2 linked regions of the Elephas maximus indicus genome follow. The protein of the gene in region 1 interacts with the protein of each later gene in a biochemical or structural test. Links are inferred from orthologs where the notes say so. Each region holds a gene or a part of one and is shown in the gene's direction. Other genes may lie near its edges.

Region 1 (3,746 bases):
AAAAGCACTGAGACTGGGGTGTGCGTGTGTGTGCGCGCGCGCGCGCCTGTACGTTGAGTCAGAATTGACTCCACAAGAACGGGTGTGGTTTTTTCTTCTTTTTTAATAATACATACAATATATAATCATTTTGCATTCCGATGTATGGTTTCAAAAAGAAATCAACATGAGCTCTATAATGAGAGGGGAAAACAAGCCATTCTTTGGGGATATCCACTTAAATTGTTTAATTTTTCTGAAACGTCACGTGTTGAACACTACCCAGTTTTTTTTAAATAATTGAGTGATTCCTTCAACACTTGCACTTTTCAAATAGTTGTTTTTGAAATGTATGATCTGTGGTGTAACAGGACCTAATACCACGTGCCAAGCACCCATGCTAAGCATTTTACCTTATTACTGAACGAAGTAAAATTTGAGACTCCGAGGTTAAGTAACACGACGAAGGCTGTATAGCCAGGGTGTGAAACATAACACTTGAACCCAGGCCTGCCTCTTAATCACGAGACAAAAGGTCTTCTATTAATTCGGCAAAACCTGGTCAGGCGCTCTCCTCAACCTGCAGCTTTAAGCAGTTCCCTCCCAGAGTTTAGGGCCTGGTTTAACAAAAAGAGCCAGTGTATCCAACACTCCACCCTAAACAGGAACTGGAAAGAAGAAAGGTAAAACGTGGCTATTGCGCATGCTCACTCTGCCCTTCCAAGCTTTCCACTCCCTGCCCCCGGACTCTACTGCAGCAACTTTCCCAGACTTTAGAATAGCTCCCGCCCACTGTGAAGTCAAACGGGCGGAAGCCGTTCTTTTCTGCGACGTGGATATCCTCTCTCCCGCCGATCTTTCCAAATTGGAAGCAGACACCATGCGCCTCTGTTTCTCTGGGATCCAACTTGGAGTTAGCCAGTTGTCAAGATGGCCGCTGACAGCCGGTCCCGAGCACAGGCCTTTCATAGGCCAAAGTCTTATCCTAGCCCCGCCCATTTCGTCCCCGCCAGCCTTGTCCGCCTGCCTCTTTGCTACGCATGCGCAGTGGGAGCGGGACGGAGGTGGGACGGTCCCGGGTCTTCCGTGTGCCACCGCCGCCGCCTCAGCCTCGCTGCTCTTGCCACTGCGGGCCTACCTTGCCGGCGTTAGCCGCGCGAGGGGAAGACGGGGTACGACGGAACGTGCGTGCGCGGGGGTCCCCATAGTCCCAGCAGTTCCCCTCGCGCAGGGTGGGCGGCGGGGGTCAGCAGCAGGCAGGGGAGGCCCTAGGCGGCGCCATGTCGGCGGGCGGCCCGTGCCCGGCGGGGGCCGGTGGGGGCTCAGGGGGCGCCTCCTGCGCTGTGGGGGTCTCCCCCGGCGGGGTATCCATGTTCCGGTGGCTGGAGGTGCTGGAGAAGGAGTTCGATAAGGCCTTCGTGGATGTGGATCTACTCCTGGGCGAGATCGATCCGGACCAGGCGGACATTACTTATGAGGGGCGACAGAAGATGACCAGCCTGAGCTCCTGCTTTGCGCAGCTTTGCCATAAAGCCCAGACTGTGTCCCAAATCAACCACAAGCTAGAGGTGAGCAGAGGGCGCTGGCGGGGCCACATTCAGTCCCAGGCTGCCTGGTGGCGTTAGATCCTATTTAGATACACCAGTGAAACAACTCCAGAAAACTGCCTACAGGGGCACCTGGGCTATGAATGTGATGGGAGAGTGCGCGTGTGTGTGTGAAGAAAGGAGTTAGGTAAGGTAACCCAGTGCCGTCGAGTCGATTCCGACTCTTAGCCGACCCTATAGGACAGAGTAGAAGTGCCCCATAGAGTTTCCAAGGAGCGCCTGGCGGATTCGAACTGCTGACCCTTTGGTTAGCAGCCGTAGCACTTAACCACTACACCACCAGGGTAGGTAAGGTACGGAGGAAGAGACGTGTGGGTCTCCCGGGGTCGTGTCATCACCTTCTTAGCACCTCAATGGGGAAGAAACAGGAACTAATTACACCAGCCAAGACTTAAGCTCAAAGATTCTCTGTCATAAGAATGAATACCTTAGCCCACCTTTTTACATTTAAGACGTCGATAAAACAAAGTTTGCATATCACACCAGACAGATACAGGCCTGGTTATTTACTTATTTTTTTAAACTATTCCAGACCGGCATCTGCGGTTACAGAGACATACTATTCTCTGCATGCATGAACTATTTAGGGGAATTTGATCAAAGCTCTTAGAATTTGTGGGATAAATATGATAATATCATTGCCTTTCTCGGTTTACATCCACAGTTGGTCCTTAGGTTACAGGCAGACATCTCCAGAGCCCCGTGCAGTTATTCAAATGGCTTCTAACATTGAACTTTGTGTATTTGTACTTTACTGTGTTTCCCAGAGTCTGAATTTATTTTTGAGTGTGTAAAGAATGATTGTTTTAGTCTGTAATCTTGGGGTGGGTGTGGGCGAGTGGTGGTGGTTTCCCCTCCCAAAAAACAAAAAACCCTACCACATTTTGCAGAAAATGAAATTAGGGCATTATTAAAATATTTAGAAATCATGATAGATTAATTTTATTAAATAATTACATAAAGAGCATTTTCTAATTTAAAAAAAATTAGGCAATTTAAATGAGAATGAGTCTTTTAAAAGTAGATTAAAAATGGGATAATCAGTGATGTGCAAAACTCTTTGAACATTAGTTTTCCTAAGAAATCATTGTTGCTACTAGTTATGATAATTGAAACTACCCATCAGATCCAAATTGATATGAATATCAGAGATGCATCCTCTCTTCGCTTAGTGGTCAGCATTTTTTCGCTTTTCTGTCAGTCATAAAAAAAGTGGTATAATCTGATTAACATTGGTTTGCACATCTGAGATTTTCTGCCTCTTCTCCACTGAATGGACTGTTAATTTCTTCTACCCTTTTTAAAAGGGTAAGAATGAAAGTGTTGATATGAAGGTAATAATTGGCTTTTCTAGGTAGAATAAAAATGTCTCTTGATTTCTTGATTGATAGTAATTTCTAGAAGATAGTTATTTTTTCAAGTAGTGAAATTGCATCTGATGGTACTTAGAAATAGTACTTGAGCTTTGAATAACAAAGTAGGAGAGGAGCTTTTGTCACATGAGAACTTTTTTTATCATTTACAACTGCAGGTTTGTAAATGACTTGCGGAAACATTAAACAGTGATATTATGATGTCCGGTTTAAAATCTAATTTTGCAGAAAGAATCATTATGTGAGTAGGAGGTAGTGCTCAATTTTTTTTTCATCTTTAAGCATTTTAGATGAGTATTCAAAGCTGTAATAAATTATGCATGCTCTTTTTCTCAGAAGTTATAATTATGTATTCTGACTTCATGCCCTGACTTAGAGGTGGCGTTATTTTTCAAAATAAGAAATGCTTGCGAATCACAATGTGAGCATATTTTTCAACATGTTTGAAACTCTTCATTTAAAGGTCTCAGAAAATGTAGAGGGAGAGACGTAAACTTGATTTGGTTTTTTTGTTTTCTTGCTTTTTCCATTATAATGACTTGTCTGTTTGTAGTATTAATCTTCCATAATTTAGTAATTTTTACACCTTGTATGGAAACCCTGGTGGCGTAGTGGCTAAGAGCTACCTACGGCTGCTAACCAAAAGGGCGGCAGTTTGAATCCACCAGGTGCTCCCTGGAAACCGAATGGGGCAGTTGTACTCTGTCCTATAGGGTCGCTGTGAGTCGAAATCAACAGCAACGGGTTATGGAATCAGTTGTGTACTGCTGAGGAGAGAGGTTCAACG
Region 2 (3,746 bases), on another chromosome or scaffold:
CTGGGATTGTTCATGGGGGGTCCAGCTGGCCAGCCCTATTGCCATGGCTCCTGGACAGCAATCTTCCCTTGTTGTGCTAGGCGAGACCTCTGCAGAGTGTCCCCAGCAGGGCCTCACCTAGCCTGATCCTCCGCAGCGCAGAGGCTCCCTCATCAGCCCGATTCTTTCCTTGACAGTTTTCACCACAAGCTGAAGTTTTCTCCATTTTAAGTTGTCTCTGGTTTACCATCTCTTTCTCTCTTTGTACATGCTGAGCTCAGGGAAGCAGAGTCTTGTTCATTTGTCTACAGCCTCATCCCTCTCATGAAGAGCAGGCCTGGCCCCGTGAGTCTCCAGCTCTGTTGGAACCTGCTGTGTCAGCAACAGGCCACACAGTGGGACATGCAACAGCCATCATTTCTCTCCTCATCCAGCACAACCACCCACTGTCACCACTTATGGGACCATCTGGGCCTCAGCATGGCATGTCTGCCTGCTGGCAATGGTCCCTAAAGTCCTCAGTGCATCACCCCCTCAAGGGCAGCAGTGTCCGTATCAGCCAGCAAGGCTAGGTGACAGCTGCCCCTCAGAGGCCTGCAAGGCCCATGGAGGAGCTGGGAGGCTGGCCAGGAGGGCTCCACTCAGGGGAGGGGTGTTTACACTTTCTGACTCCATTTTTCCTGGAGCTGGGTGTCTGGCCTCATGCCAGGCAGGGCAGGTTTTCACGGGGAGGGGGGTCTGTGCAGCTCTTGGGGAGCTGGGGACACCAGGCAGATGGGGGTGGGAATGGCTGGTGACTTCCTGAGCACAGGTCTGAGTCCTGCTGGGGACTTGTCTGCACCAGGGCCAGCCACAATCCCCCCAAAAGACCCATCACCACCTCTCAAAAACGGGCACAAGATGGATGCCAGCTCTGCTCCAGCGCCCTGTGAGACTCTCTTGCAGAGAAACAGTGGAATGGGCGGTGGGTGGCCAGGACCCAAATTCTGGGAGTGTCAGAGGCCTGCTCCCAAAGTAGCCCCAGGTCCTGGGGGAGGCAAGCGAAGGCCTGGTTTCTGCCGTGTGCCCCTCCCAGTGTGCAGGGACCCTTCAGGCTGGACAGGAGTGGTGGAGGGCCCTGGTTCAGCCCCTCCAAGCCTCGTCTGCACCTCTGCTGTGCCCCGCCCTTGCAGTGGGTACCCCGAGCCCCAGACGGGGGTCTAGCGTGAGGCACAACCTTGGGGAAGGGGGTTCCGCCTATGGGGATGCAGCTGCGGTGGGCAGCTTGTGACCAGGACCTGCTGGGTGCCCCCCTCGCACTCCGCCCCCTCGGGCTCAGTGTTCCCGCACCGCCCCCACTCGCCCCGCCCCCCACTCGCCCAGCCCCGCGCCACCGCCTCCGCGCAGCTCCAGCTCCCCAGGAGCGCAGCGCTGACAAGGGCTCTGGGGACAGGGGCGCTGCTGCCCAGGTAAGCCCTCCTCCCCACTTACTGCTCCTGGCCTCCCCCGCCTGCACCCCGCGCGCCTCTTCTCCGCTGGCATGGACACCAATCGTCCTCCCCCATCACCCCCTCTAGGCATCCGCGGGCTCACCTGCTGCCCCGTGTTCCTCCCCCTCGGTCCCCTCCCCAACCTCAGCCGCTCCAGACCCTCTCATTTCTCTTCACGGTGCACCCCTTCCCCCTTGACCCCGGTGTACGCCGGCCTCTGGGACCCCGGGCTCCCTTTGCTCCGAGTCGGGGAAGAAACCTCAGCGGGACAGCCCTCTCTGCCCGCTGAAGTCCACCCCCACCCCCTCGGCCCGGCCTCCCCTCCGTGGACGCCACAGTGAGGCTTGCCCCTGGGGCTGGGAGAGGGGCGCTGCGCGGCTGGGGAGGGCTGTGTGTGGAGGGAGCTGCAAGAACCAGAGCAGGGAGCTAGCAGGGGGCCTTCAGAGCAGAGAGCAGGGGAGCTGGCCAAGGGTGGCAGGGCCAGCGTGGGTGATCAGGCTCAAAGGCAGGATGGGTCCCCAGAGCCAGGCCAGCTCAGGGCAGGTGCAGGCACACACAGACTAGGGATCCTGGTGAGTCCCCTCTCCTAGATCAGGAGCCCTCCATGCACTCTCTAAGAACCGCCTCTCCAAGGTTTGCAAGTTAGTCACTGGGAGCCCTCCACCAGGTCAGGATACCTGCTCCTCCCCAGTACCTAGCACATAGCCCTCCCACATTGATACCTGTGCAGTGTCCGTGGCCCCTACCTGCTCACCTGCCTGCCCTGCTGTGCCACCTGACAGCGGCCTGGGGCCCTTGGGATTGGTGAGGCCCAGAAAGCTGGCTGCACAAAGTTGAGCCTGTTAGGGGTAGGGAGAGGCTGCTGAGCCTCTAGAGAAGAGCTCAGGCCCCTGGGGCAGCTACTGGGGGACCTCCCAGGCGGAAGTGGTCAATTGCACCAATGACAGTGGTTTAACATTAACTCCAGGCTTCGTGAGACTGTGTAGTGAAGTGGGCATGTGCCCTGGATTGAGACCCTGAAGGGGGCTATTCCCTCTCTACCCCCTGAGCCATGCCAGCCTACTCTACTCAGCTGCCTCTTCTGGGAATTTACATTGCCTGGCCACATGCTGCCTGAGGGACAGGGGAGTGTGTGGGCAGGGGCTGCATGGGGCTGCCATTTGTTGCATGCCAACCAGGCTTCCCTACTTTGCCGCTTCCTGGGACCACCCCACCTAGGCCTGACAACCAGAGGGAGAGGAGGGAGCTGGAAGCGGGGTCAGGAATCTATGGCTGGGGAGGTCAGGCATGACCAGAGACCAACTGCTGTCCCCATGGCTGCCCCTTCCCTGCAGACCTGACTCCAGAAACTCGGGCCTCCCTGAGCCCTGCGTCTACAGCTAGGCTGTGGGGTTCACAGGAGCCATTACTGAGCACTCACTGTGTGCAGGGCAGCATTCTGAACACCAGAGCTTAACTTATCTGCTCAGCAGCTTTGCAGCTTGGAGGGGCTATCAGTTACAAGAACCAGAACTCAGAGAGAAAGGACTTACCCAGGTCACATGGACAGTGTGCGGGAGGGGGGGGCCTTTTCATTCCCTGAGCCACGTGGTGGGCCGGCAAGAGACAGGCTGGGCCAGTCCCTTCTGGTGGGGGACCCCAATTGTCAAGCATGGTGAGTTTCACGAATCCCCCTCCATTGACTAACTCCCACCCCCACACCTGGCCCAGGGGAAAGGGCCCAGGGGCAATTTTCCTGAGTGTATAATTTCTGTGACTAAGAGGATTGCCACTCTGAATAATGGTTCTTGTGGAATTGTGTTCCGAGAGGCAGGCACAGCACTGATGGCCTGTTTTTGTTCTTCACTGCTGGATCTAGCCTGGGAATTGGGTTGTTTATGGGGATGGCAGAGCCAGGGACCTGGCAGTCTGCTCTGCCGGCCCTGAGGCCGGCTCTGCTGGCTGTGAGTCCTGGGGTGCTGGGAGCGGCCTCGGAGGAGCCCTGAGCAGCCCAGAACTTCACATGTGAAGAAAAGGCATTGATTTGATTTAAAATCAAACATGTGTTCATCGCTGCACATCCCAGGAACCCAGGGCCTGCCTCAGAGGTGGTCTGAGCCCATTTGGCCCCTCCTCCTCCCATGGGAAGCAGATCCAGGTCCCCCAGCCAACCCGGACCCCCTTAGGTCCCACCTGGGATGGGCTGAAAGCCCTTTCTCGGTATTTTTTTGGGAGAGAGGGCTTACTTAGTCCACAGGACCCCAAAGCTGGGTGTGAGCCCTCCTCACCTGGGTGCCCTCAGAGCCCACCTGTCTCCAG

What was found. The genes of interacting proteins can lie anywhere in the genome.
Region 2: the proteins of GOPC (region 1) and SSTR5 form a complex in vitro, tested with the Homo sapiens proteins (2 studies listed by BioGRID and IntAct, with this or other methods). The link is inferred for Elephas maximus indicus from reciprocal best matches to the Homo sapiens genes GOPC and SSTR5.

What each region holds. Positions count from the first base shown.
Region 1 is NC_064819.1:184,796,106-184,799,851, reverse strand, and holds the start of GOPC (Golgi-associated PDZ and coiled-coil motif-containing protein), read left to right. Parts: upstream 1-1,024; 5' UTR 1,025-1,259; coding exon 1,260-1,547; intron 1,548-3,746.
Region 2 is NC_064830.1:58,234,294-58,238,039, forward strand, and holds the start of SSTR5 (somatostatin receptor type 5), read left to right. Parts: upstream 1-1,356; 5' UTR 1,357-1,427; intron 1,428-3,746.